Linked DNA regions of Rhinolophus ferrumequinum. The protein of the gene in region 1 purifies or fractionates together with the protein of each later gene. This does not show direct contact. Links are inferred from orthologs where the notes say so. Each region holds a gene or a part of one and is shown in the gene's direction. Other genes may lie near its edges. The genes, in order: UPF1, UPF3A, UPF3B and SMG7.

The links.
Region 2: the proteins of UPF1 (region 1) and UPF3A purify together in Homo sapiens (affinity purification with western blotting; 5 studies listed by BioGRID and IntAct, with this or other methods). This does not show direct contact. The link is inferred for Rhinolophus ferrumequinum from reciprocal best matches to the Homo sapiens genes UPF1 and UPF3A.
Region 3: the proteins of UPF1 (region 1) and UPF3B purify together in Homo sapiens (co-immunoprecipitation; 16 studies listed by BioGRID and IntAct, with this or other methods). This does not show direct contact. The link is inferred for Rhinolophus ferrumequinum from reciprocal best matches to the Homo sapiens genes UPF1 and UPF3B.
Region 4: the proteins of UPF1 (region 1) and SMG7 purify together in Homo sapiens (affinity purification with western blotting; 7 studies listed by BioGRID and IntAct, with this or other methods). This does not show direct contact. The link is inferred for Rhinolophus ferrumequinum from reciprocal best matches to the Homo sapiens genes UPF1 and SMG7.

The regions. Positions count from the first base shown.
Region 1 is NC_046301.1:51,445,947-51,453,623, forward strand, and holds the start of UPF1 (regulator of nonsense transcripts 1), read left to right. Parts: upstream 1-4,662; 5' UTR 4,663-4,781; coding exon 4,782-5,012; intron 5,013-7,677. UniProt on the Homo sapiens protein: RNA-dependent helicase required for nonsense-mediated decay (NMD) of aberrant mRNAs containing premature stop codons and modulates the expression level of normal mRNAs.
Region 2 is NC_046287.1:56,480,864-56,488,238, forward strand, and holds the start of UPF3A (regulator of nonsense transcripts 3A), read left to right. Parts: upstream 1-4,366; 5' UTR 4,367-4,419; coding exon 4,420-4,623; intron 4,624-5,912; coding exon 5,913-6,019; intron 6,020-7,375. UniProt on the Homo sapiens protein: Involved in nonsense-mediated decay (NMD) of mRNAs containing premature stop codons by associating with the nuclear exon junction complex (EJC) and serving as link between the EJC core and NMD machinery.
Region 3 is NC_046284.1:37,074,593-37,081,618, forward strand, and holds the start of UPF3B (regulator of nonsense transcripts 3B), read left to right. Parts: upstream 1-4,009; 5' UTR 4,010-4,098; coding exon 4,099-4,254; intron 4,255-5,136; coding exon 5,137-5,243; intron 5,244-5,408; coding exon 5,409-5,515; intron 5,516-7,026. UniProt on the Homo sapiens protein: Involved in nonsense-mediated decay (NMD) of mRNAs containing premature stop codons by associating with the nuclear exon junction complex (EJC) and serving as link between the EJC core and NMD machinery.
Region 4 is NC_046305.1:14,980,677-14,987,993, forward strand, and holds the start of SMG7 (nonsense-mediated mRNA decay factor SMG7), read left to right. Parts: upstream 1-4,301; 5' UTR 4,302-4,501; coding exon of another isoform or gene 4,502-4,530; intron 4,531-7,317. UniProt on the Homo sapiens protein: Plays a role in nonsense-mediated mRNA decay. Recruits UPF1 to cytoplasmic mRNA decay bodies.

The DNA.
Region 1 (7,677 bases):
TCCTCTGGGAGATGCTAGATGGCCCTGCTGCCCTCAATAGCAGCTTTGAGTTGATGTAGGAATTGGAGCTTTGAGGCCAGGCCAAAACCCACCTCTCCAGACACCCCAGTGTGCCCCCAAAAAAGCAACCTGTGGTTGAATTAGAATCAAAGTGTCTGCCTGCTGTCCCCCCACCCAAGGCCTTCTGTGACCCATCATCACCTTCAAAGAGACCATTCAGAGAGCAGAGGAGACTATAAAATATATACACACACACTTATTTTTCTTTTCCCACCAGCATCACTGGGGCCTTGGCCACACATCCGTGTCCCACAAGGGCCTCCTTTGAAGCAAGAATGGGGCTGCAGAGGGGGGGGCCCACAGAAACCCACAAGCACCCACTGTTCCTGGGGGAGCTTCAGACGGGGTCTAGTCCATGGTCCAGTGGGGCTGGCCACTTCTCAGCAAGGGTGGGGTTTCAAGGGCCACATCTGTGGGAGCCTGGAGCCCGACAAAGGGTTTCAAAGAGGCCAGTGGCTGGACTGGGGGAGCAGCTGCAGGATCCTAAATGTCCTTTTCCCAAAGTTGTGGAATTTCCCTGTGGCAGCCACGGCTGCTTACCCTTGAGGGACCTCTCTTGGTACGAGAGAAGAATTCTATTTTCCCGGACTTGGAGGCTGGCATGGAATTCGAGGACGGGCTGGGTCAGCAGGTGGGGCAGAGTTGTGAATTTAGGGCTGGCGGGTGAATTAAAGTTGGCTTAAGTCACTGAGTGGGATGGGTCTAGGACTGGTTGAGATCTACCTGGGCTGAGAGAAACACACACCTGTGCTGAAGGCCCAAGAGGACTTTGTGTGGTCTGAAATGTTTTTAGTCTTTTCTTTTTTTTTAATTTCAATGATGAATTATTAAAATGCAGACAAAGCAAAAAAGACTAAGCATTCGCAAAGAGCTGGCGTTTGATGGCTGGTGGCCAGGTACTGCCTTAAGTTCTTCACATAACATGTGTAGGGTGTTAGGGCCACTGGAATCCCATTTCACAGGTGAAGCACAGAGAGGCCAAGATATTTGAGAGAGGTCACACAGCAAGCCAATGGCAGGGCGAGGATGTGAATCCAGACCTGCTCTGGTTAACCCAAACTCAGCAACTGTCTATCCTATGTGCTTAGAATATAGCCATACATGTATTTTTCTTTTTAATTGAATTTTATTTTTAAAAATCTTTTACTTTGGTAAAATATATAAAGTTGCCATTTTAACCATGAAATTCAGGAGCATTAAGTACATTCACCAAATGTTGTGCAACTATCACCATTATCTACTTCCAAAATTTCTCGTTGCCCCAAATAGAAACCCAGTATCCACTAAGCGATAAGCCCCCATCTCCAGCTCCCGCCCCCCCACCCCCAGCCCCGGCTAACATCTAATCTGCTTTCTGTTGCTATGGGTTTGCCTATTCTGGATATTTTATATGGAATCATTCACTCTGAGGTTTTTAGTGTCTGGCTTCTTTCATTCTGCAGGATGTTTTGGAGGTTCGTCCATGTTGTAGCGTGTGTCAGTGCTTCGTTCCTTTTTGTGACTGAATAACATACTACTGAATGGACAGACCACATTTTGTTTATCCTTCATCAGCCAGTGGACATTTGGGTTGTTCCTACCTTTTGGCTATTGTTACTAGTGCTGCTGTGTACATACGTGTACACGGATCTCTGCATCCCAGCTTTGAATGCCTTTGTTATAGTTTTCTCTCACACACACATTTTTCATAGACTACTAACTGTCATGGACACTACTTTTTTAAACAGCGTTATGGAGTTATAATTGACATACCAAATACTGCATATGTTTAACGTATACAATTCGATGTGTTTGATATACATCCACACCTGTGAAACCATCACCTTGATCAAGACAGTGAATACAGCAAGCACCCCAAATGTTCCCTCCTGCCTACCTCCTATCCCTCCCCAGGCAATCTCTGATCTGTTTTCTGTCCATTTACATTAGTTAGTTTGCACTTTCTAGAATAGCCTATAAATGGAATCTTGCAGTATGTAGCTTTTTGGGTCTGGCTTCTTTCACTCAGCATTACGCCTTGGAGGTACAGCCGTGTTGTTGAGAGTGTCAGTAGTGCACACCTTTTCATTGATGAGAAGTATCTTGTGTGTTCATACATTCTCCTGATGATGGACTTTCTAGTTGTTTTCAGTTTGTGATGATTGCAAATAAAGCTCCTGTGAGCCTTTGTGTACAAGGTCTGCTTTCATTTCTCTCCGGCAAATACAGAGGATGGGAAAAGCTGGCTCCCATGGTGGGTCCACGGTTAACTTTTAAAGAAATGGTCAAATTGCCTTTCTAAGCGGCTACACCAGTTTGTCTGTCCAGCAGCCTGGACAAGAGTTCTGGTTCATCCCTGTCCTCACCAGCGTGTGACAGTGTCAGTATTTTTCATGGTAGCCATCTCTGGGAAGGATCGTGGGAGAAATGTGCCAGAGATGACTGAGAAGCGAAGATTTTGACTAAATGTGACAATTCTTTTAGTCATCCCTTCATTAAACATGGGTAATAGGACACTTCGTTGTTCTACCCAAGCAGTGACAAGGGCTCAAGAGTTGTCCCCTAAAACATTTATTTAGAACCTATTGTGTGCTCACTATTGCACGAGGCCTTGGGTATAGAACAGCAAACAAGACTGACACAGTTACTGCCCTTCAGAGAGCTGGTTTCTGCCTTGGATTGGATCGGTTCTCTAGAAGCAGAGCCTGAGATGGAGATTCAGGGGTGTGAGTTTGGGGGAAATGTGTGAGGGAGTGAAGGACGCAGGACAAGTTAAGGAAGTGGGCTCAGCTGGAATCAAGCCTCAGTCTGATCCGGGTGAGGGGGGAACCCTGGAGCCTGATGACATTAGACTGGTCCCATTTAGTTGCGAGGGATTCAGCCTCTTGTGCCGCATACCATTCAGTCCTTGGCATGGGCTTTCCTAGGGTGTATATGTTTTAGAGGGGGCATGACCTCCCTGGTGAGACAGTTTGCTCCCGGACAATTCACAAGGGGTGGTTGTGAGCCTTTAGCAGTCAATACTTGCAGCAGCTGGCATGGGGGTGCGCCAACCAGTAAAAAAGTTCTGGGCAGGGCACTCAACAGCCTGTATCCTCTACAAAAAAGTGGTGTCCATTAGACAAATAATCGCACTGACAATAATTTAATCACAATTATGATTAATGCTGGCTATGAAGAGGGCTCTATCAGAGGAAGGGAGTGGAAGGTCTTGGGGTGACAGGGAAAGGAGGGCTAAGGAACACATCTGGAATCCTGGCTACCATGTCATTGGGACCTGGGGGTCAGCTGGTCCCGACTGCATTCTGGGGCTGGGCTCCCTCCTGAGGCACCTGAGCTGATTGGATAGGCTTTGAATTTTATTGAAACCATCTGTTGGCTTGTTCCGATTTCCCCTTAAACTGTCTTCCTGGAGGAGGGGAGATCTAATTATTCATTTTCTATACCCTCACATTTCAGTGCACAGGAGGCCAGAGAAGATGTGAAGAAGGAAAAAGGAAGCTCTTATCACGTTGTGACAGGAATACTGGAAAATGTGGAACCATAAAGTATCAGTAATAAACCAGGAGCCGTGTGAGATGACTTCAAGTATTTAGAGGGCCCCAGAATTTTGGGACAGAAAGGGAAGTGGAGGGTTCTTCAAAACATTTTGCAAAAAAGGATCCTGAGGCTCGGAATTTAAGGAGATTTAGGCTCATAAACCAGCGGCTGAATTTGGACAACCTTTTACTGAGCACCTACTGTGTGGGGGCATTATTCTCCGCATAGAAAAGACCTTATAATGAATAAAGCCAACCCCATGCACGTGAAACTTTATAAATATTAAGGGGGTGACTGGTATTTCATTTATTCTTCATCTTAATGGTTATTAATTCCCTTTCCCATGAAACTCAAGGCTCAGAGAGGTGAAATCACTAGTACAAGGTCACACAGCTGGTAGGTAGTCAGGTCTGGATTGTGGTCCCAATTGCTTTGCTATATACTGCCTCTGAATATTATTGTTTGAGGCAGCAGCAAACACCATTTCTGCGAGCAACAGGATCCCTGCAGGGCTGTCCCCACTCGTTTATTGAACCACTGCACACTGAGCACCTATTAAGTGTGCAGACACCCCCGTTTTACAGATGGGAAGACTGAGGACCAGGGGGCGTCTCCAGGAGATGGTGGTGTACTTCCCCAGCTCCATCTGCGTAGGGCATTCAGTTAGGGCTCAATAGAAGCGTGGACCATCGCAGCAGCACCAACCGTCGCGCGAGCACCCCTCTACAGCAGTTGGGGCGGGACTACGTGCTCCGGCAGCCGCCGCGACAGCAGTTGATAGCCCCGCCTCCGCCCCGCGCGTGCGCACTGCGCGTCCCGTCGGCCCACTCGACTCTGGGCGTCCGGGCGCGGTTGGAGAAGAGCGCGCGCCTGCGCCGACGTCGGGCTCGCGCACGCGCACCTGCGCCGGCGTCGGGCTCGCGCACGCGCACGGAGGTGGCGGCAGCGGCGGCGGTTCCTGCCGGGGGTTGCGAGCGGCGGGCGGCTCTGAGAGGAGCTGTGGTGCCGAGGGGCTCCGAGGCAGCGGCGGCGGCTCGGCGCGCGGCTCTCGGCTCGGCTCGTGCCGCGGCGGGCGTTTCGGTCCGGTTCAGGGGCGCGGGCGCGGCGGCGGCGGCGGCCCGAGGCCTGCGGCCTAGGCCTCAGCGCGGCTGCGGGCTCGATTGCGGCGCGGAGCCGGCCAGCGGGCCCTGAGCGGCAGCACCATGAGTGTGGAGGCGTACGGCCCCAGCTCGCAGACGCTCACCTTCCTGGACACCGAGGAGGCCGAGCTGCTCGGCGCTGACACGCAGGGCTCCGAGTTCGAGTTCACCGACTTCACTCTTCCCAGCCAGACGCAGACGCCCCCCGGCGGCCCCGGCGGTCCCGGAGGTGGCGGCTCGGGGGGCCCGGTCGGCGCGGGACCTGGCGCTGCGGGCGGACAGCTCGACGCTCAGGTGAGCGGCACATGGCGGCGCCGGAAGCCCGGCCGGGCCTCGGCGCCCGGGGACCTGCCCCGGCTCCCCCACTCCGGCCGGGCCCGGGATAACCTGTTCCCTCGTTCTCCACTCCATCTGGGCCCAGAACAATGTGCCCCGGGTCCCCGACTCCGGCCGGTCCTGGGCTGACCTGCCCCGGATCCCCTACTCCGGCTGGATCCGGGGTAACCTGTCCCAGGTCCTTCACTCTGGCTAAGCCTGGTCTGACCGGTCCCATGTTTCCCGTTCAGGTCGAGTGCGGAGTAATCTCTCAGGACCCCGACTCTGGCTAGGTTCAGAGTAACGAGTCCCGGTCCCACACACCGCCTGGGCGCAGGGCAGACCTGCTCCGGGTCCCACTCTGGTTGCGTCTCGGGGATCTGCCTTGAGTCCCCCTAAGCCTAAGAACTGTCCCGGATCTAGCTCAGGCCAGGTCTTAGGTGACTTCCCATAGGTTTCCTTCCGAGCATGTACGAGGTGACCTGCCCTACGTACTTCTCTGCCAGGTCATGGGTGACTTGTCCCCAAGTTGCCCTCTGCCTGGATCTCAGAGGATCTGCCCGGGTCCCCACTCTGGCGGAATGGGAACCGTGCCTCACACCCCCCACCTGTGGTCGCAGTCATCTGGACACCCCCCTTCTCACAGCCACGGAGCCTTAGGGTCAAATTTCCTCAGGCCCAGGGACTGGAGAGCGGAGGCTGCAGGCTCCAGGAGCACAAATGGAATTTTTGCCTCCGGTGGAGAGAACCCCACATTCGCTGGCTTTTGCGATTATTCAAGAGGCAGGTTGCGTTTTGTTTTTCCTTCTTGCATTGCCTGTTGCTGAAACCGACCTGTTACGTAACTCCACAGCTCTGCCTTGGAAAAGTTGGGTTTGAGTTTGTTCCTCCAGTGGGCAGTGATAGTGGGTTTTACATAAATGGATCTGCCACATCAGAAACTTTTGTTTTTAATGATGTGAATGTTTAGTGAAAGCGACTTAGGTATTTTAAATTTGAATTTGGGGGATGAGAAGTATCAGGCGTACACTTCCTGGAACTGGATGCCTGCTCCCCAGTGGGAGAAAGGGACTCCTTTCTCCCAGTGGTAGGGTCTTGGACTAGGGTCCCAGGGAATGTCTCCATCATCCTCTGGATCTCAGATTCCATTCCCCAGGTTTCCCTGTGCCTGGCACGTCCCTTAGGTTTATTTTCCTGAATTCACAGCCAGGGAGGAGCTACAAGGCTCACCTTATCACAGGTGTCAAGGCATGAGGTCCCAGTGCCTGGGCTGGGGCGACCACCCCATCCTCAGCCAGAGTGAGCTCAGACCCTGTTCTGGGGGATGAGGGTTATGTGCTAGTTGGGAGTCGTTGGTTGAGTCACTCCCGTGGGTAGACCACCCACTTGGCATTTCTTTTAGCCCCTAATAGAAGCGAAAAACATTTGACTCATTCTAACCCCAGATTCCTTAAAAATAGAAGTCTGATCGGTGGGGCATCAGAGAGAACAGGTGTGCAAGTGTGTATATTTTTCAGTTTTGTTTATGTGTGGTGGAGGGAGGGAGGAGAGAGGGAGAGTCTGCCTGGAGAGAAGAAAGAGCCCCTGGAGGTGTGTGATCACTTCTGTAGTCTGACTCTGTAGACCTCTCTGTTGCCACAGCTGTAAAATGGGGGCATAGCAGTTTTACTTTTGTTACTTTTAAACATGCATGATCTCTGGACTCATTCATATGGGCTAGATAGTGCTGTCTGTAACTTGTGCCCAGTGTGTCTAGAAGGTCCAGGATAAAGATCTCTTGGTCAAGCAGTGACCACGATCTGTGGCAGCGCAGGGTTGTGAATAGTAATTGGTTTTTTGCAAATCTTTTTTTTAACTGTAGCCAATACAACACAGCAAACATGGGTCAGCTGGGGTTCTAGTTTTGTTCCTCATATTTGTGATTAATTGCGGCGTGTCCTCTTTCAGTTGAAGTAATCGATTTATTTTCCTGCACCTGAACACTGAGCTGTACAATATAAAAGCATTAATACTCCCCACTGGAGGTAAACAGTACAGTGGAGCTCACTTGAGTTCTGATGACATCAAAAGGGCCTGTTCTTCCTTACTTTTAGTTACCCTGATGAGCCACCCACCTATACCTGTAGCCTAATTTTTGATTTATATTTGGGGAAGGGGAGTGATGTTTGTGTCACAAGAGGAGGCCCTGAATTTGGGGGCAGGAAAGTCTGAATAGAATTGGAAAGTGGAAAAAAATTGATTATCTTCTGTGCCAGGTGGTGGCATTTGCTCCCTACAGCGTTTGCTGGTCACAGCATTTGGGGAGCTTTTCCGTGTTTGTCCTCAGGAGTTGGCTGCGGAATGAACTGTGTGACGGGGTTGCCAGAGAGACTCAGAAACCTCCCATTCTAAATGCCTTTTGATTGAATCTTACTGGATTAGTGGTTGTAAAGTGTCAAGTGCTGTTGCAGCTGCTTTTGTTTCACAGTTTTATTGAAAGAGAATTTACATACCATACAATTTACCCATTTAAAGTATACAATTCAGTGGCTTTTAGTACTGAAAGAGTTGTGCAAACACCACCATAATCAATTTTAAGACATTTTCTTCACCCTAAACAGAAACCCTAGACCCCTTAGCCTAACAGTCCTCCCTCCGCCAACCC
Region 2 (7,375 bases), on another chromosome or scaffold:
TCTGTGCTTATTATCATTTATTTATCTTTTTGGACAAATGTCTATTCAAGTCTTTTGCCCATTTTGAAATTGGGCTATCTTTCTGTGGTTGAGTTGTAGGCGTTCTTTTACAGATTTTGGATGTTAAACCCTTACCAGATACATGTTTTACACATATTTTCTCCCATTCTTTGGGTTGTCTATTCACTCTCTTGATAGTGTCCTTTCATACACAAAAGGTTTTAATTTAATGAAGTCCAGTTTATCTAGTTTTTCTTTTGTTGACTGCTTTCGGTGTCATATTTATGTAACTATTGCCAAAGCCAAGGTTATGCAGATTTTTACTTATGTTTTCTTATAAGATTTTTAAAAAAATAATTTTAGCTCTTAGTTGTCGGTCTTTGATCCATTTTGAGTTAATTTTTGTAAATGTAAGTTAAAGGTCCAACTTCATTCTTTTGCATGTGGATATTCAGTTTTCCCAGCACCATTTCTTGAAGAGACTGTCCTTTCCCAGTTGAATAATCTTGGCACCCATGTCAAAAAATAAGAGAGTTTATTTCTGGGCTCTGAATTCTATTCCATTGGTCCATATGTATATCCTTTATGTTAGTATCACACTGTTTTGATTGCTGTAACTTTGTAGAAAGTTTTGAAATTGGGAAGTGTGAGTCCTCCAAACGTAATCTTTTACAAGATTGTTTTGGATATTGTGAGTCCCTTGAATTTTCATATGAATTTTAGGGTAGTTTTTTCCATTTCTGGGGGAGGGGGAAGCCATTGGGATTTTGATAGGGATTTTACTGAATTTTTATGACTTAATATTATGTCGTCTAATCCATGAACAGGATGTCTTTCCATTTATTTATGTCTTTAATTTCTTTCATTGTTTTGTAGTTTTCATTTACAAGTCTTTCACCTCCTTGGTTAAATTTATTCCTCAGTATTCTTTTGGATATTATTGTAAATAGAATTGTTTTTTTAGTTTCCTTTTTGGATTGTTCATTCCTAGTGAATAGAAATACAACTGATTTTTGTATATTGACTTTGTATCCTGAATGTATTTATTAGCTTTAACATTGTGCGTGTGTTTGTGTGTGTGTGTGTGTGTGTGTGTGTGTGTGTACGTTGTATTATTTAGAGTTTTCTCAATAATAGGATCATGTCATCTACGAATAGAGAGAGTTTTATTTCTTCCTTCCAATTTGGATTCATTTCATTTCTTTTCTTTGCGTAACTGCTCTGGCTAGGATTCCACTATTGTTTTGAATAGAAGTGGCAAAAGTAGGCATTCTCGTCTAATTCCTGATCATATAGAGAAAGCTTTCAGTTTTCACCATTGAGTATGACGATAGCTGTGAGTTTTTCAGATACCCTTTGTGGTGTTAGAAAAGTTCCCTTTCTTCATAATATACTGAGTGTGTGGTGGCGTTTTGTTTGTTTGTTTGTTTGTTTTTAATCAGGAAAGGGTGCAGATTTTATCAAATGCTTTGTTTTTGATCAGTTGAGATGGTCAGGTGTAATGAGTTCTAGATTTTCAGGTCTGTTCAAGGAAAAGACATGACCATGAGGTGGCAGTAGCACATATGCTTTGTTTTTGATCAGTTGAGATGGTCAGGTGTAATGAGTTCTAGATTTTCAGGTCTGTTCAAGGAAAAGACATGACCATGAGGTGGCAGTAGCACATTTTGTTTGGGGTAGCTTTCTTTAAGCTGTGCTTTGACAAGTTGTAGGAGGGGGTAGCCCCTTCCAAAGACAACAGTGTGGGACCTCCACCCAGAAGGGGACCACGGCAAGGGAACTCCTGGGGGAGGGGAATCACAGAGGAGGTTCACATGTCTTGGTGATGTAGTAGTAGCAACATGGCAGTCTCTGCGTTAGAGAAATCCTCAGTGCAGCAGCAGCTTGGAGTCTTCTATAGCCTGGGGTTTTTCTTATTTATGCTAGTGGATGCTGTGTGTAGTATTGCCAGGTATGCAGAACAGGCAGGCTCTAATTGGCTAAAGATATATTGTTTGGGCTATATTTAAAATAATTGCAAGTGTAAAAATTTGATTTGGTGCTGGTGGACTGGAGCTAACCATTCCAGCCCGCTGTGAAGTAAACAACATAGAGAGCAGTATACAAGAGCCATCTTTGGTTCATTTATATAACATCTTGCAGGTTTTTTTCCCTTCATTCTATTAATGTTGTATATTACATTGACTTTTTGTGTATTGAACCACCCTTACAATTCTGGGATAAATCCTACATGGTCATGGTGTATGATCCTTTTAATATAATGCTGAATTTAATTTGCTAATATTTTGTTGAGATGTTTATATTCATTAGAGATATTGGTCTGTAGTTTTCTTGTAGTATCTTTGGCTTTGGTATCGGGGTAATACTGGCCTCATAGAATGAATTAGGCAGTGTCCCTCCTTTTCAATTGTTTAGAAATGTTTGAGAATTGGTGGTAATTCTTTAAATGTTTGGTAAACTTCACCACTGAGGTCATCTTGTCCTGGGCCTTTCTAATATATGTTTGGAGGTTTTTGATTACTAATACTACCTCCTTACTTGTTATAGCTATTTCTTCTTGAGTCAGTTTTGGTAATTTGTATGTATCTAGGAGTTTGTCCATTTTATTTAGGTTATTCAATTTGTTGGTGTATAGTTGTTCATACTATCCTGTTATAATCCTTTTTATTTTTCTAAAGTCAGTAACAATTTCCCTTCTATGATTTTAGTAATTTGAGTCTCTTGTCTCTTCTTTACTTTTCTTAGTCAATCTGGCTAAAGGTTTGTTAATTTTGTATACCTTTTCAAAGAACCAACTTTTGATTTTGTTGACTTTCTCTGTTAATTTTCTAGTCTTTTTTTCATTTCCACTCTAATCTTTATTATTTCCTTCCTTCTGCTACCTTTGGGTTAAGTTCTGGTGTTATTTTTCTAGCTCCTATAAGGTATGCAGTTAGGTTATTGAATTAAGATTTTTTTTTTTTTTAACATAGGCCTTTACAGCTGTAAATTTCCTTCTGAGCACTGTTTTTGCTTCAACCTATAAGTTTTGGTATGTTGTGTTTTCATTTTCATTTGTCTTATTTTCTAATTTTTCTCATGATTTTGTACCCATTGGCCGTTTGAGTGTGTTGTTTAATTTCCACATTTTGTGAGTTTTCGTTTCATTCCATTGTGGTTGGAAAGGATACTTGGTGTGATTTCAATCTTTCTAAGTGTATTAAGACTTATCTTGTGGCCTAATTTGTGCTCCATCCTGCAGAAAGTGCCCTATTTGCTTGAGAAGTATATTCTGCTTTTGTTGGGTGGAGTGACTCCCTTGATCTCTTAATGCCTCACTTACTCCATTTTCTGGTTTCTTTTTTGATTTCTACTTGAAATTCTTGGGATAAAGGTGCTGTGAATAAAATGTGGCCAACATGCATAAAGAAAAGTGAGAAAGTATAAAATATAGCATTTAAAAACGAAAAACTTTCATCTATGTTATTCTAACCAAGTGTCACTGCCTGCATGTTTGTAAAAGAAAAGTATACAAATGTAAATCTGGCTTGGTTGCTGTTCCATTGAGAGCCCCAAAAAGCTGAGTAAAAATCGTATTGGAAAACCTTCTGAAGGCCCTGTTTTGTGGGTGCCGTGGGTCTATTAGTTACTCTAACCCAGCCTGTGATGCGTAGTCAGCGTTGACACCTGAGCGCTTGAACCTTCCACGCTGGCCAATTTCTGCTCTCAATTCTGGTACATTTATTCTATTCCGAATAGCAAAGCCATGTAGCCATTTGTGCTGTTTGTCAATTGGTTGATTTTTCTTGAGTACAATTACTATTCTGTTGAAACTTTCAGACTCCTTTGGAAAAGAATAGCTGTAAATAGTTTATGAAGCGCGTGAATGTAATTCTCAGGAATGTTTAGCTAAAGGACCAGCTCTCCTCCGTGGGAAAGTTTCAGCCCTTCAGAGTTTTATTAAAGGCTCCTTCTGGAGCCAAACGTCCTCTGGTGCTGAATTTCCCGCTGATCTCCAAGGCCTTGGAACCCTCCTTCGTCCCAAGACTCTACGAAGTCCGGGCTGCAGGAGAGTGCGGGCAGTCTCGACATCTCAACCACCCAGACCGCTGCTTCGGTTGACCACACAATAGAGCGCTGGTCGGAGGTGCGGGTCCAGGGGCACCCCGTGTACCGGGACACCAGACTCCAGGCTTGGGATCCGGGCCCAGTCCGACAGCCCCTGTTTCCCGGGTGTCTCCAACCCCGTGAGAGGGGCGGGCTCGGAGGTCGTGGGCCAGAACCGGACGTGGGTAACAGGGACCGTGGCAGGGGGAAGGAGGGAGGGGCGGGCGGCATCTGAACCAGGGGGTGGGGGTGGCAGTGGGGGCGGCGGCATTCCAGTTCTCGCGAAGTTTAGGCCGGGGCGGGAGGCGGCGGCGACTCTGCGGCGGGAGCGGAATGCGCTCGGAAAGGGAGTGTGCCGGAGGCCCCGGGGCGGCCGTTGCTGCGCGGGGCCAGAGCTGGAGGGAGAAGCCGTCGGCTGCGGAAGTTCAGTTCCGCCGAGAGTCGCCGCGGCGAGAGCCAGCATCGCCGCTGGCTTTGTCCTCCAGCTGTGGGAGCAGCACAGGCAAACCTCGCGAGAAGAGGACAGTCCTGAGCAAGGTGGGTGTGGGACAAGGAGCGGGGGCGGGGTGAGGACGGGGCGATGCAAGCAAACTTCGCGAAAGGAGGAACGTGCTTCGCAGGATAGAGCGGAGCGAGAACGGGTTGTGCGTGAAACCCCGGAGGAGAGGAGCTGAGTCCTAGGCAGGACCCGGGGATGCGAGGGCAGGAGTGGGGTGGGCTGAGAGGTGCCGGCAAACCTCGCCAGAGAAGGAGGGATTTCCGCGAGCCGAGGCGGGACGAGGACGGGGTGGTACGAGCAAACGTCTGGAGAAGAGATTGGTCCAGACCGAGAGGGGGAGGCGGGGCGAGTGGAAGTGCGGGGTGGTGATCAGGAGAGAGAGGGAGTGGGCGAGGCCAAGGGGTGGAGTGGCAGTGGAGGGGGGGAGACCAAGGGGGGTGACCAAGGGTGGTGCGTTCCGTGGGTGGGTGGGTGGTGTCCAGAGCTGGGCTGCTGGGCGGAGTCGGGGCGGGGCCGCTAGCGGGGGAATCAGCACCGCGGACAGCGGCCGGGCAGCGCTGCGGCGAGCAACTCTTACCGCCTGAGACAAGAGTTTTCAGCACCCTCTGAAACGTTAGTTCTTTATGGATTGGGAAGGAAGAAAAGTCTTTTCAGCGTGTAGAGCTGAGACACTGGGCTCACCAGCGAGGGGCAGTAGCTGTCCACAGTGCTTTGGACCACGGCCTGAGGGGGCACGAAAGGGGAACGGCGGCTCGCCAAAGGTCCTTTCCAGTATAGTGAAGCCAAGAGAGAGAGCCTGGAAAGCTTGGTGGCGCGGTGGGTGAGGACCCGCGATGTGGACACTGTGGACCGGAGGCGAAAGGTGTCCAGTGCAGGCGGAGTTCCTCTTGGCAGAACCAGCAAATACACCGTTGGTTTGCTACTGTTGGTAACAAAAATTCCAACATACATACATTCCCTGCGTAGATCTTACCTTCTACTGTGGGTTATCATGCAGAGAGAATGCAGGAGCTGTTATTTTTCACTGGGGGCACAGACAGTACGTGTCACGTGAAGTGTTGTTTGGTAGTAATGACATGATTGCATGAAAAAGAACTGTTAAGCTCAGCCTTTTCTGACCTCACTGATCCCTTCTCAATTATTCAACTCCCATTAACCTTTTGACAGCCATGTTGTCCATATATGTGTTCCTTAACTGTTCCTAAAATGTGTGCTTTTGAAGGTTTATATTTTCCTTTGAGCATACACATAGGTCACCAAGCATTGAAATAATTGAAGGTTAATACAGTAAGAGTGAAACAAAACCCAGCCAGCCTCCTTTCCCCAGGTGGTGATCCGGCGCCTTCCTCCCAGCCTCACCAAAGAGCAGCTGGAAGAGCAGCTACACCCGCTGCCTGCACACGATTACTTTGAGTTCTTTACTGCAGATCTCAGGTGAGCAGCTGTTTACCAACATTAAGAAGCTGACAGGGTCGGACAGGTGGCTCAGTTGGTTAGAGCGCGAGCTCCAGGCAATGGGGCTGCCAGTTCAATTCCCACATTGAGGAGCCAGCAAGCTATGCCCTCCTCAACTAGAATGAAGTCAGTGAGGTGCTGCTCAGCTCCTGGGTGGCCAGATGGCTCAGTTGGTTGGAGCGCTGGCTCTCAACCACAAGGTTGCTGGTTCAACTCCCGCAAGGGATGGTGGGCTGTGCCCCCTGCAACTAACAGTGGCAACTGGACCTGGAGCTGAGCTGTGCCCTCCACAAATAAGATTGAAAGGACAACAATTTGACTTGGAAAAGTCCTGGAGATACACACTGTTCCCCAATAAAGTCCTGTTTCCCTTCCCCAATAATAAAGCTGAGAGACATTGTCACTTGCTGGCAAATTATTACAGGTAATAGAAGCCATCTCCACTTCCATCTTATTTCCCACATGTACCGAGAAATTAGTGCAGACCTTTATTTCTGCAAGTTATTTCTAAGTAGGCAGATCATTAAATTCCTGTAAAATAGATTTAAAATATGCCTCTACTAGCACCACCGTAGTCTAAAAAGAAACACATACCATTAACAACATACTATTTCCTTATTGTATTTTGCACATCAATAAAACTTATTTCATAAAACTTTTTAAAGTAAATTGTATTGAGATATAAAAAAGAGTGAATATAATGGATATATAACTCATGAATTTTCACAAATGAACACGCCCATGTAACTTAACACCAGATAAAGAAACAGAATATTCCAGACCCTAGAAGCCCCTTGTACTCCCTTCCATCACTAACACCCAGACCCCACACCGCCCCTCTCAAGTTGTATCTTTTTTAATTCCCTTTTACAGCTTTGTAGTTAGATGACTCTGACAAAACTTCTTACTTCCAAATCTTTTCATTAACAGAGAGAGCCAACCTCAGGTTAGACCTTCAACAGGTGACAGACAGTTCATCAGTGATTTAGTGATTTTCACTATGTTTGTATCATTCTTTATTATCATTATTATTCTTTTTATCTTCAATATCATGAGTTCTCATTTATGGTAGCCAAATAAACTTTCCTTTTGAATAAATACATTTAAGTAAAAAATGTCAGTCCATTCAACAAAAAAATACCACTAACAGGTAAATACAGATATGGTTAAAAAAAACACATAAAGATGATTTTCAAATGACTAAAGTTTAGGAAAACTGGTACAGTTAAAGGAGGACAGATACTGGACTAACAGAGTGACTCAGATTGGAATCCTAGTCCCACCTTTTAACTAACTGCACTCCCTGCAAGTATCTAGTTTCTCTGAGCCTCAGTG
Region 3 (7,026 bases), on another chromosome or scaffold:
CCATAAAATGGGTACCCCTGTCACTTTCAATGACTTGGGGGTGACCATAGAGGGCGCACAGCCGTGTAAGAGCGACCAATGCATGCCGCTGATCCGCAGCTGGACACGGCCAAGCAAACATCAACCCTGTAGCAGTGTCCACTGCTGTGAACGCATACATCACATTGCGGGCCTTAGGCAGGGGACCAATATAATCCACTTGCCAGCGAGTGAGGGGCACCCTCCCTCGTGTAATCTGCTGTGTCTCCCAGTGGATCCTCCACCTTTGGGGGCTGTCCTGGGCACAGACGGCACAGTCATAGCAGGCATCTGCTATCTCCTGCCATTTCAAAGGCAGACCCCAGCATCTGCTCACCTGCCACATTGTTCGGCTTCCAGCGTGCTGCAATTTCCTATGCAGCCAATGGGCCACATCAGTGGCAGGAGCCCATTCTAACCATCAGACCCGTGCTAGGGCATCTGCTTCATCATTACCTGGGGACACTAAAGGGGACTGACCTGTGACATGCATTAGGGTCACCTCCTTTCTCTGCCCTAGGTCCCAGAGGTCCTGCCACATGGCTTGACCCCACACAGTGTATGGTGTCCGTTGGCCACTGTTCTCAGGAGTTGGACCCCCAAGGAGGGGTGGGAGGACATGGATGGCTCTCCGGCCACCGTGGAGAGGGCCCTGCAGGCTCTGGCTGAGCGGTTGCCGGAGGAGGCGAAGGCTACAGCCGGCTGCGTGGACTGGATGTTCCTCATGGCGTTGAGTCTCAAAACGGAAAGTGCGCTTAATGAAATGATCCAGGTGCCGGACCAGGTGTCCCGGTTGGAGGCTCTGGAAGCCCGGGTCCGCCTGTTAGAAGAGGAGCCCCACAGTGGAGAGTCTGAGGCAGAGGCGGAGGAAGTGAGTGGAGACAACGTAGCTCCCAAACCCCTAGCCTGGCCAATCTTGAAGCAAAGGGTAAAACGTGACCCCGGGGGCGTTGCTGCAGGCAACCCAGCTGTGATTTAGTTCACAACCTACACCCCTTACACTCCCACTGAGTTGCAGGAGCTGGGGAGGTGGTACAGACAGAGCCCTGGAGAGCCAGTCTCCGCTTGGCTACTACGTTTATGGGATAAGGGAGCAGACAACATTCTCTGCTCCCCAGGCGAGATGGAAAAGCTAGCCGTCGTGACAGTGCATCCGTCCCTGTGACAAAGGTTACAGAACTGCCATAGGTTGGCTCAAAACCAGGGCAACCATTCTCTAATGGAGTGGCTCATTGCTGCGGTACGCACAGTATGGGGACAGGCTGGCGAGTTGCCAGACACATACCTTTTGCAGTAGGATGGAGGCCAAGGCCCCGGACTCCAGGTCAGGGTGTACGCTGAGAATCGGAGGTTTCATGTAGAACTGACCATCCACTGGTCTTCCAAGAATAAACAGAAGGTTTTAGCTCTTGTTGATACCGGAGCTGAATGCACTTTGATATATGGCAACACCAACTATTTCCAGGGACCTGTGGAGGAAGCACTATTAGGGCTAAAATATACCTACAAATTGGCCAACTCCCCTCTAAACGATATGTAGTGCATATCTCACCCATGCCTGAATACATCTAGGGCGTGGACATTCTGGCAAGCCTTACACTTAACACAACAGCAGGGGAATTTAGACTGTGATGCAGGGTGGTGAAGGCAATCACCTAGGGACATGCCAAATGATCTCGTTTGAGACTCCCATCCCCGCGTTGCATAACAAATACTTGGCAATATCACCTGCTGGGGAGAAGAGATAACCCAAACTATACAGGAGTTGGCAAAAGTGGGCATTGTTCACCCAACCCACAGCGCCTTCAACAGCTCTGTGTGGCCCGTGTGAAAACTAGATGGCACTTGGAGGATGACTGTAGACTATCGGGAATTGAATAAGGTAACTGCCCCCTCTCCCCCGCATATGCAGCTGTACCTAATATTGCTAGATGGCATTGGACAAGCCCTGGGAATATACCATTTTGTCATAGATCTGGCTGATGTTTTTTTCAGTATAGCTAGTCAAGACCAAGTTGCCTTCATATGGGGAGGGCAACAATGGACATTTACCGTCCTCCTCCAAGGCTACCTACACAGTCCCACTATGTGCCATGGCCTCGTGGCAAGTTGATCTTCAGCTCTGGTAAAAGCCTGTCTCGGTGCACCTGTTTCACTATATAGATGACATAATGTTACCTTATGTGTCTCTTTCAGATCCAGAGCAAGCAGCTGGAACGCTGATTCCCCACCTGGAGCAACAAGGATGAGCAGTGAACTGTACCGAAGTGCAAGGGCCTGGGTTCTCTGTCAAATTCTTGGGTGTTACGTGGGCGAGTAAGACAAAAGTCATGCCAGAAGCAGTTACTGACAAAATACAGTCTTTTCCCGTCCCCTCATTTGTCCCCCAGTTACAGACTTTTTGGGGCTTCCTGGGCGACCCTTCATCCCCCACTTGGTCTAAATCCTTAGGCCATTATGTAGACTGGTTAAGAAGGGGATCCCAGCTCATGCAAAGTTAAATACCCCACCTGGAAATCATGAGGCAGACAGCCTCACCGGGCTGCGTCAGCCCCTCAGGACCATCCATGACTCCCCTGGAAGAAAGAGGAAGGCCCAGCTCATTTGCTCTCCTGACACCTGGGCCCTACCAGGCCCTCTGAATTCAAGTGATTGGGCCACACAGTCTCATGCCTCAGTGAGGCACCAGAAGCAACCTCTTCTTGCTGCTGCCGCAAGACTTACCCACAGGAACACACACGGTCTCTTGGCCATGGCACTGGCAAACCAGGCCTTGGTGGTTGGGTATCTTGGGTATCTTAGCCCCGTGGAGTATTGGTATAGAATAGAGACTAGTAATATCCCCAACCTTTGTCTTAAAACCCCTCCCATGTCACTACTGAGAATCCAGGGCCCATGATAAAGCAGAGCTCCCTATATATGACCCCTTTTCTGATTAGTTAGCCTCCCTCACTCGCTCCTGGCTGTTCACATTTTTTGGGTATTGTTGCTTTCCTCCTGGACCTGTTATTGTTTTTCCTTTGCTTATGTTGTTGTTGTGGTGTCTGGTTACAATGTACATCTTCAACCTGCAAGAATCTGGGAGCTATGATGAGGGGGCGGGATGTAGGGACCTGTCCACAGGCAGATAAGGTAGCTGGCAGTCAAGGTTTCCTGGCTCCATGGGAATGCTACTGCATGACAGCAGGCCTGCAGGGCCTGCAGATGATTTCTCCCATGGAATGCTCTTTGTTTTACTGTACTTATATAACTTTGCTTCTGCGCCTGTGTGCAGAATGCTACTCCTCTGGCTGGCCACCACTGGCGACTGTTCCCAGTCTGTAAGTCTCACTAATACCTATCTTGCACCCAGTTACCTGGTGTGTTCTTTGGGCTTGTGGCTTCTCAGGCACAAATGTTAGAACAACTCAGACTCCGTCGGAACAGGCAGTTAGGCAGAAGGTGAAAGGTCCTGCCTGAGTCTTTTTATTAAAAAATAACCAGCTTAAAATAATCAATATCCCAAAAGACATTTTGGGTTGGCAATTTCTGCTTCCCCTCAGAATCAATGATAGAAAACACAAATTGTTTCCCCTAGTGAGGTACACTTTGGATAACATCGGGTTTATCAGAGGAACACGATATGAAGGACAGCACGCAGAACCTATCTTTCGATCTGAGAAACACTAAACATTCGATATTGAAGTATTCCTTTTACTTAAAAATAGAGACCCTGAGATACCTAAGGCTCCAGAGCTCCCAGCCAGAAGCGGGTAACTGCTTTGCATGCCGGGATTTGTAGTCCAGGAAAGAGTGCTTGTAGTCAAGATGGAGGAATTGCTGCGCCGCGAGGGGACTGGGCGGTGCGCGGATTGGGCTGGGTGAATTTAAGACCAGGTATTCAAACCTCTCCTCCAGAGGAAGCAGGGCGCCCTGTAGTCTCGCGAGATCCTGACGAGGCCCAATGGAATGCGGGGCCGTCTTATCACTAGGGGCATTTGGTGGGGGCGGAGTCTTGACGGAGGTGGGCCGGCAGTCGTTAGCTGCTCCGCGTATGGGCGTTTGGGCCGAGCTTCGACTGTGAGGAGCAAAGCAGTGGCCATGAAGGAAGAGAAGGAGCATAGGCCTAAGGAGAAGCGAGTAACTCTCTTGACTCCCCCCGGGGCCACAGGCAGCGGCGGTGGGGCTTCCGGGGACAGCACCAAAGGGGAAGATAAGCAGGATCGGAACAAGGAGAAGAGGGAGGCGCTGAGCAAGGTGCCTGGTCCGCCGTTGGCCCGTGAGAGGGCGGGACGCGTTCGCCACCCATGGAGGATGGTTGGGAATGGGGTTGCCCTCTTCCTCTCCCGGTCGACCCTTCTATTTCTTCCCCTGTGTGAAAACCGCATCACCCTGTCTTAATCTCTGGACCGAAATGGATGGAGCCCCTCCCGGCCAAGCCCCGGGGTGGGAGTGAGGGAAAGGGGATTCCCAGATGGAGAAGGGTTTAGGTCAGAGCTGTGAGATAATGGGAGGGGTGGGGAGCGATAATGAAGAGAATGAGGAATTAAAACATTAATTGGGGGAAATTATTAAATACTGAAGGGACTATCAAGGGTGGGAGTAGTTTGTGATAGGAGTATTAATGGAGGCGAGTTGAAGGAGTATGGGGAAATTAATGGTCTGGGGGCCGGATCGGGTGCATCCTATTTTGGGAACAATGAGGGCATTCGGGATATTCCTTAGAGTTTTGAATTCTTTATGCTGAATGAGGAAGGGTTTTGTTTTAGGATGTTGGATGTGGTAGGGAAATAATAAATCAAGAGTTCGTGGCACCCACAGAAGACCAGGGTTGGCCTACTAATTTCTTACCACTACATCTATTGAAAAATGGGTGATATAAAATGATGTGGAAACCTGGTAAACTTCGGGGCTTCAACCTGAGATTTTCCTTGGTCCAGACAGTTCTCATTTCTAAGAGTTTTTAAAAACTGTGTTACTATTTTTTATTAATTCTGAACATTAGGAGACTATTTTCTCCTGGGTTTTTATAAATGATCTCATCTTTCAAAGCACAGCTTTCTTCAGGGATGGTGATTCATTCATGTATGACTGAAAATTGATTTGTACTAATTTTATTTTACTTATTCATTTCTGAAGGTGGTAATTCGGAGATTACCTCCCACTTTGACCAAGGAGCAGCTTCAGGAACATCTTCAGCCTATGCCAGAGCATGATTATTTTGAGTTTTTTTCTAATGATACTAGGTAAAATAAATAAATAAAGGGGGGTAAATGAAAAAGGTTTCTTCCATTCTTTTTTATCCTACTGTTTTCCATTTGAGTTTTGAGCCTGTCTCTTTAATATGTGCATTCTTACAATTCAGCCAGACACCTGCAAGCATATTTACATAATTGCTTTCCTCTCTGCAGTCTGTATCCTCATATGTATGCCAGAGCATACATCAACTTTAAAAATCAAGAGGACATTATTTTGTTCAGGGATCGCTTTGATGGTTATGTATTCCTTGACAATAAAGGTGAGTTCTAGTAACTAAAAGAGTTTCTTTGTCATTTGTGTTTAAGACAATGTGTGTTATCACAGTGTTTTCTTAATGCCTTGATAGCTTTTCTAAAATCCTGGATGATAAAACGTGCAACATTTAAAGACTTAACCTATTGACAAACCTATTATAATCTTATACATAGATATGTGTCTTTTCACAGTCCTCTGGTATTTTTATTAACCCGTTATTTCTATAGTTTGATCAACTGAATGAAATTGCCTGTTTTCTCCTCCTGTGACAATTTTTTTGCCCTGAATTAGAAAATCTGTTGTTTGACCAGTTTCAGCAGTTATACTCATAAGTGACTCTTTAAACTTGTATGGCAAGTTTAAACATTTCTCATCTTGCTTCAGGGATCAACATTTGTTTACTTAATTCAAATAACTTAAGCCAATAGTTCCATGCTGGAATACTGTTTAACATTCTAAATTGTATGTAATTAAAACATCGAATTTGATGATCTCCCACTTTGTATCCAGGAGTCTAAAGAGAAGAAAAATTTCTGCCTTAACTCTATTTATTTTCTGCGGCTTGCAACATTTAGCCAGAGAATGTCCTCACTGCCATTTGTCACTTTTCTTTGGCTTTGCAATCATAGTGAATGATGTGTCTTTTTGTTGAGTTTTGTTGTTTTCAGTATTACTTCAAAGTTAGTGAAAATGAAAGCTTTACCAGGGAATATGCCTGTAAAAGTAGGATTGCCACTGTCCAACTTTTATAAATCCCCACAAACTAGCTACTTCTCCCCTCCAGCAACTATATTCCGTAGATAGCAATGGTTTCCTAGTGACTTAACCTGGAAATCTCTGAGTTGTGTTTAACTCTTTCCTCCTTTTTATCCCTTACATTTAAAGAATTGATGAATCTTTTAAATTTGTTTCTTAATGTCTTATTCATCCAGTCTAACTAATATTTTCATATTTGATATCATCACCTAATGCTTAGACAACCACTGTCTCTAAACTTACAGGGTTTTCCTTTTTTTCCTTTTCTGTGTAATTCAGTCTAACTGCCATAAAATTAATCTTTTTGGAAATAGTCATTTAAAATAATAGTTGTGAAAAAGTCCAAACTCCGGGCAGCCGGTTAGATCCCCACATGGACCACTGTGAGCTGTGACCTCTACAACTAGATTGAAACAACTACTTGACTTGGAGCTGATGGGTCCTGGAAAAACAAACTTAAATAAATAAAAGTTTTTTTTAAAAAAAAAAAAAAGTCCAAACTCCTTAGCCTGGTAGTCAGGACCCTCCATAGTCTGGCCTCACTTCCGTTTTCTTCAGCCTATCTTCCACAGTTTCGTTCTGCTTTGGTCTGGGTTATCTATTCATTTTCAAACACATCAGTTATTAAACTAATGTGATTCTGCATGTACCAGGCTTTCCAAAATTATGTTTCCTCCATGACTGCTTTGTGATGCCTTCTGGTCAATTCTACTTACTTTATTCTGGCTTATGTCTATATGCCAGTGGTCTTTACACCTT
Region 4 (7,317 bases), on another chromosome or scaffold:
TTGGGATTCTTACAGGGATTTGGAAGAAATTCTTGAAGATGAATGTAGTTTCCCTTGGTAAATATTAGGAGAATCACGGAAGGACAGAGAGCTCTGACTAGCATTCTCCAATCTCACAGCTACTCAAGCCAGAAGTTTCTGTTCTTGGATCTTAGACTGCAATGTTTCCTGACTGTTCTGCAGGCCTGGTAACTCCCTCTCAGGAGCGAATGAATAAATGTACATTTGGCAAACTGTGTTGAGAAAGCCTGCTGACCTTTGGTCTAAGAAATCATGAACTAGAGAAAACCTGAGTTTAGATGTCAGTTTGTATCTGACTCACTATTTGAAGAGAATGAATCACTCATTTGATTGAATCACCGAGCTTCACGATCTGAGGTGTGGTGCTGAAGAGAGCACAGGGCAGCTGCATACACATCGTGTATTTGAGTACTGCAATTGATAATTGATTCTTCTCATCAAAATAGAAACACATTTATGAAGTACCTAATTATATACAGGATTTCAAAACATTTAGAATATGTAGGCTAAATATTAAAATAAATTAGTACTTGTTAAGGTTTCATGGAACAGGTGAGATGTCTATTATTATAAAGAGGGAGGAGGCTTGCTATGTATTTATTGTCAGGTCATCAAAGCTCGGGGTAAATTTGGTAGGAATGTTAAGAGTAGCTTCTCAGAAAGTATCTCTGTTTACTTGTGCACAAATATGGTTATACTGGGCTGTTTTTAGTGAGAAAAAGTGTTTTTTTTTAAAGTTTCAACTCTCTAGAATCTGACTCACAATGTCCTAATACTGTATTCTTTTCTGTAATCAGAGTCAAGGATAAAGAAATCTATCTTCTAGCACTGAATGAGAATAGATTCGGGTGTGTAACCAGACCTATGAGTTCCTAGACAAAGACTAGATAAACCATTATTTCAAAAGATAATTTTATGCTATAGTAGTGCTAAATGATTCATTTTAGCTTGATATATAAGAGAGCAAGAGGATAAAAAGAAAATTAACGTTTCTCAAGTGCCAGTGTGGTATGTCAGGCACCCATGTACTCAGTCACATATATCACCATTAAAGTTCACAGGAAACCTATAATAGGTAATGTTGCCACTTTGGTCAAGGAAGAAACTGAAGTTCAGAGACTGGGACAGGCAGAGTTGGAATGCACACTCAGATGGGCTAGCTTATGATCTTTCCATAAAAATCACTTAAGCGCAAACTGAAAAACTTAATGTCAGGCAGGATTAAACAAAATGAGACAGCTTCTCTTTAATTTCTTTTGGTTTAGATGTAATCTCTATCCTCAGGAGGAAAAATAAATAAATACATTGCAGAAAGATGCTTGCATTCTATAAGTCAGTTGATGGCGTGGCAATAGAAAGAGGAGACTGGAAAAATGTACATTAAGCAATATGTAAGTTCTGGGTCAATTTTTCTGAGTCCTACTGATTTTTGAAAGTTATTTTCAAGATGGGCATCAATGTCTTATAAGCTGTAAAACGTAAATGTTACTATTTTATCCAGTTGGTGCTTGACATTGTAAAGCCATTGAAGAATCTTATAAAATTCTTAGGAAAGCTGGTATGAAATACAAAGATGATATTTCTGACCCTCATCTGTCAACCTAACGTACTTTGTTCTTACCTTCATTACTACACTCATATTTCATCCTAATCACTTCTCTACTCTCTGGTATCTCTACCAGAAGGTGGGTTCCTCTAAGACAGGGACCAAGTCTGTTTCACCCTAGTATCCATAGTAACCTGGGCAATGTCTGAAATGTAGTAAGCGCTCAGTAAATGTTTACTGAATAAACAACACAACAAATGGATTCAACTTTTTGATCCTAGTTTCCTTATTTCCAAAATGAGAAGACCCCAGTTTTTCGTTAGATTGCTTCTCAGGAGTGTCATGATACGCGCTCACGTACTGTTTCCCGGAGATGTGAGCCACAGACATAAAAGGCGTTATTATGATGAGTACTGAGGGGGTAAGTATTTTACATAAGATTTTTATTCTGGCCTAAATCTCTTTAAAAATCTAGCAAATACATTTCAGGAAAGAAATGTAGGGTGTTTTAGGTCAGGTGTAGTAGTAATCTCCATCTTTGGGCTCTCAGGGTTGAAGAACCAGAGATGAGAACAATCTCTCACTAGGGGGCTCTCTTTCCCCCAGTGGGCGGCCCGACGGTGCGAGCAGGGGATGTTGGAGGCATTTTACAGTTGCTGTCACCGTCACACTGCATCACAGTAGGCGCTGGCAGCAGGAAGGGCAAAGTTCAATTTCTATTTCGTCAATGAAAATCTGTCTTTGGGATTTATTTCAAAGTAGCCTGTGCTTTCATTTCTTCTAGGCTTACACATTATGTTCTAAATGGACATTGGTTCATTCTTTTAACAGGGGCGGTCTCGGGGAAGGATCTCGAAAGCGCCTCTTTACCTACGTAGCACAGAACACAGCAGGAATCAAGTACCCAAACTGAGTCAAACAAAAATAGCCCATTAAAACCCTCACTTTAAATATCCAAAGAGGGCTACATTTCTGGAGGGTTTTATATTGTTACACATCCCAAAGTACTTTGGGATCGCTGCTTAAACGACTCAGTACGAATCGAAAATATAATTTATGAAAAGTCAAATAATTCCTTCAAATCATTAGGATGACTTCCCCAGCTACTTCTCACACAACTCCATGCTATTAACCCCATTCTTTATTTCTGCCTTTTAACCCCAAACCTGACACAAAATACACATAGTAGACATTCAAAGAGTTGTTTTAATGAAAATCTTAGATACCTTTCACCGGAACTTCGCGCCAGTACCTAGGTTTTTCTTAATCCTATTTTACCCAACGCTTTCCTCTGCAACCCAAAATACAAAGAGTGACAAGTTCTAAACCACTGCAGACCCATCAGAGAAGGAAGAAGTTTGCAGAGGAGGGAGGAACTCGGTTTGCTTTTGATAACCAAGTGGGACCCCCACTGGGGGGGTGCCTCTGAGATGGCAATCGTTAGCGTCTCGCCACCTTCTCGGCTCTAAAGGCTGTAAACCCACGTTAGCCTTCTAGGATGTGTTCCCACGCTCACTCTGGCCTCCTTGCGGCAGGAGGTGGCTCTGGAAGGCCGCCCGGGTTAACTCCGAGGAGGCTCGTTAGCTGAGGGTGGATGTGGGGTGGGGTTTGGGGGATTTCTATAAGGGGTCGGTCGACCCGCTGGGTAAAGTCGATGTCCCAGTCGGCAGGAGAGGGATCGCGGCTGTCGTGTGCCGTTCTCCTCCCTCAGGGACCCCGTCCTGGCGGGATCCCGCCTCCCAGAGCCCGAGGCAGTTGTGGGGAAACCCCTCGCCCGCCCCGCAGCCCAGCGCCTCCGCCTCGCCCGCCAGCCTTCAGGCCCCGCATCTTCTTCGCAGGCCCGGCCCTCTCCACGCCCGGCAATAAGAGGAAACTATGGAGGTGGTTCCCGTCCTCAGGCTGGTGGAAAAGCCCATGGTGAATGCCTCGGGGTCTCCCCCAACGCTGCGGGAAGGGGAAAGGGAGGAGGAAGTGAACTTCACCGCCAGGGAGAACTACCCCGGATTCCCAACCTGGGGGAGGCCTTTAGATGTAAGGGAAGCCGGGGGGGAATCCTGGGCACCTTCCTGGGAATCCATTCGCAAAGGGAGGGTCACCCGCTCGGCGCACATTGGTTACTATGACGATACAACTACAGCCTCCAGTTGCCATAGCAGCTGCTTATCCAATCCGATTGGTTTCCTTTCTCCTCCTCCCTGGGCTCCATCTCATCCCCTCCAAATCTCCCTGCGTGCAGAGGGAGGGACCGCAGAAAGGAGGGGGGGTCCTCAGCGTCACTGTAGGGCGCGAGGGAAGACAAGAGTCGAGGGACTAGAGGGCGGAACTGTAGGAGGAAGGGTCGGCGTTTCCGGTAGGGAAGAGTGGAGGAGTGGAAAAGGGGAAAGTTGGATGGAGTGGAAAGACGGGGGAAGACTTTGAATGTAACTACCGGTAAATTTGGGCTCGATGTTCCCAGTGAGGCTGGGGTTGCCCCCTCGCGCGGGAGGAGAGGGGTGGATTGGCAGGAAGCCGCCAAGCGCCTTCAGCTGGCTGCTCAGCAGCCGCACAGTCGATGCACAGCCATCTGATCCCAAGAGGGAGCGCTACAGAGAGGCGGAAACCAACCAGAGGGACCGGCGCCGCTGAAATATCGCGAGAGGCACCCCACTTCCTTCCTCTGCTTCTCCCTCCTCTTCCCCCCGCCCCTTCCCTTTTCCCTCCTCCTCCCTCCTCCCGGGTCGGAGTGTCCCTGCGCCCCACAGACCGGAGCAGCAGTCAGAGCAGCTTTCCCCGCTCCCTCCCCCTTGCCTCACTCACCCTCACCCCCCCGCCGAGCGAGGAGGAGTCGGAGGAGAGGAAGATGGCGGCGGCCGCCAGCACCCGCGGTACCGCGGGGCCGCTCCGAGGAGCCTGAGAAACCCACAGAGGCTTCGCGGGAAGACGCGGCGGCGGAGGATGAGCCTGCAGAGCGCGCAGTATCTCCGGTGAGTGCCGAGGCCGGCCCCGTCCGTAGGGGGAGCGGGCCTAGGGTTGGGGCTTGGAGAAACAGACACAGAGGTGGTATATCCGGGGTGGCGGGGGAGTTGCTGTGTCCTTTCCTTCCCCGGCAGGGAGGCGGGGGCTGCTAGGAGCTCCGCGGGAGGCGGCGGAGCGGGCAAATACAGGGATGCCTAGCCACCGCGGGCCGGGCTGAGTTCCAGCGAAGCCGGCTGGTCGCGGTACCGGGAAGGAGGTTAGGGAAGCGTGAGAATGTGCGCGCGCGCGCCGGGGGTCGCGGGCTCGCTGGCTCGGGGTGGGGGAAGGTGCCCGGGGATGCGGCGGCGACCCCGAGTGGAGGTGGGTGTGGAGGAGGCTGATCCCCGGTGGCGGGGGAAACGTGGTGTGGTGTGGGATTGGCTGGAGCGGTGCATGACCAGAAGACCGTGGAAGTCTACACACCTGGGGTGTGTGGGGGGTTGGGGAGGAAGAGACCGCGGGAAACTGGAGTTTGTTCTTCATTCTTGGTGGGAAGTAATGAGGAATAATGTCATTTGTAGTTAGTTGGCGGGGTGGGGGTGCGGGCATAAAGAGGGGGAATGGATGAGGAAGTGAGGAAAGAGGGAGGTCCAATGGATGGGTTTGGGTTCACCTAAAGAACCTGGGTTAGAATCAGTGTAGTCGCGAGATACCATCATTAAGAGTGATGTTAAGGAACTTGTATGTGGAAGGTAGAGGGACGCGTGGGTACAGTGTGCGAGTATGAGCTGTGCGTGGGGTAGGGGGTGGGGGGACGATTGATACACGTTTTAGGAGGGAGAAGATGCAGACACTTTGGAAGCAAGTACAGGATGGCGAGAGCATATTGAATGGAAAGCCACCAGCTATTGTGCAGCCAGGACGGTTCCGCAGAAGCTGAGTTAAGACCTTGAAGGTAGAAGGAAACGAGGGTCAAAATCTTGATGACAGATTGTTAGAGTCTGAGGTTAATTGGGGAGTTGCGACTTCTTAGAAAAGGGGAAGGCAGATCTTAAAATGGATCCTTTTGGTCTTTCAGGAGCAGAACTAAGAAGGCAGGCTTATGGGAAGATGTTTTAAAAAGTGGTTTCATACCTTGTGGAGGAGGAAATTGGACGGGGTAGAAATCTGAAAAGAACAGAAAAGTCACTTGAGCTGTTTAGTGAAGTGAAAGTGTTGTTGTGTGAGTGGATCCCTATATGGACATCGCAAGAGAAGGTAGATAGTGATACATGAGGGTGGCTATTCTACTTTTGAAAGTAGTTATACTTTTATTAAGCAGAGTGGAGAAGAGAGAATGATGAAATCTTTGAGTTAATGGTGGAATGCCTGAGCTTAACAGACACAGGATCCACGCAACACGTGAGCCCAATGACTATAGGGCACTTGGAACGCCATCTGTATATATCAAGCTCCTTTTTCTCTCCTCTTGCCTGTTTATTGTTTAATATATCAGATAAACAATAAATACAACTGTGTCAAAGATGTATGGTAGATGGTGTAGAGGGAGGATATGGAAACCATCAGGATAGTCCTTAATTTTCAGGACTTTGCAGTTTAGTACACATTAGGCAAGTAAATAACAACAGTACAGAGGAAAAATGGTAAGTATCATACATGATGCCAAGTGTTATAAGAGTCCAAAGGCAAGAGATTATCTGAGCGGTTGGGGGGAAGCAGGAAAAGCTTCCTTTGTTCATGTGCTCATTCATTCACTGCTCGTCAGTCATTTTGTTGATCACCTATATGAGGCATTGTACCAACTGCTGAGAATAGAAAGGTAAGAACTCCACTCTCCTCTGACAGAGTTTACAGTTTGTTAGGCTTCAAGGAGAAAATAACACTTACACTGGACCTGAAAAATAAACAATATTCTGACAGGTGGATTGAGAAAAGGGGGTTCCAAATGGAAGGAAACCGAGCAGAGCTATGTAGGACGTGGATGTTGGGGGCCAGGGGAGGTGTTTAGTTCATGTACACAAGAAGACAGGGTGATGCAGCTAGAAAAACGTATAGCGTTTTGTAGGTTATTAAGTTTGATCCCTTCTTTTTACAGATGAGGAAGTATAGCCCAAAGAAGTTAAAATTGTTGAGGACCATGTAGCTGGAAGCTCTGTAACTCAAATGTAGGTCTTCTAATTCCAAATCAGCTATTCTGTGCAACATGTCTGGGTTCATCCATTTTTTCCCACAAATATGTGTTGAAAGCTTACGGTAATTCTAGGCATTGAGGATATCGTGGAGAACAAAATGAACAGAATGATATGTTTATCAGGTGGTGACAAGTACTAGGAAGAAAATAATGCAAAGCAGGGACATGCTGTTTTATAGTCGGGGTGATCACGGAAAGAATACTCCATAAGGTATTTGAGAGGGTCTTGAATATCATGATCTGTAATTTATAGTTAAAACGGGTGGACAGTAGACAATCTGAGATTTGTTTAGAAGGGAGTTCACGTGTTCATAGTTGTGTATTAGGAAGAGGAACCTGGGTACTGTAATGGGCAGTTAAGGCCCCAAATAAGGGGGTGCCAGTGGGACAGGAAAAGTACGATGAAAAGCAGACTGAGAGAGTAGTGATCATTTTAACAGGAAGGTCAGTTGGCTTTGAGAGGCTTCTGTGTTAATATATATTACATTTTGTAATTCACCATGGTCAGGAAGACTTACCATTCAGTTGGGGAATTAACGGTACACAGCTGGAGATGAATTTAGTTCTTAGCAGAAGGGAGAAAAGAGTAAGAATGAACACAATGTTTGAATAACCTATATTTTCC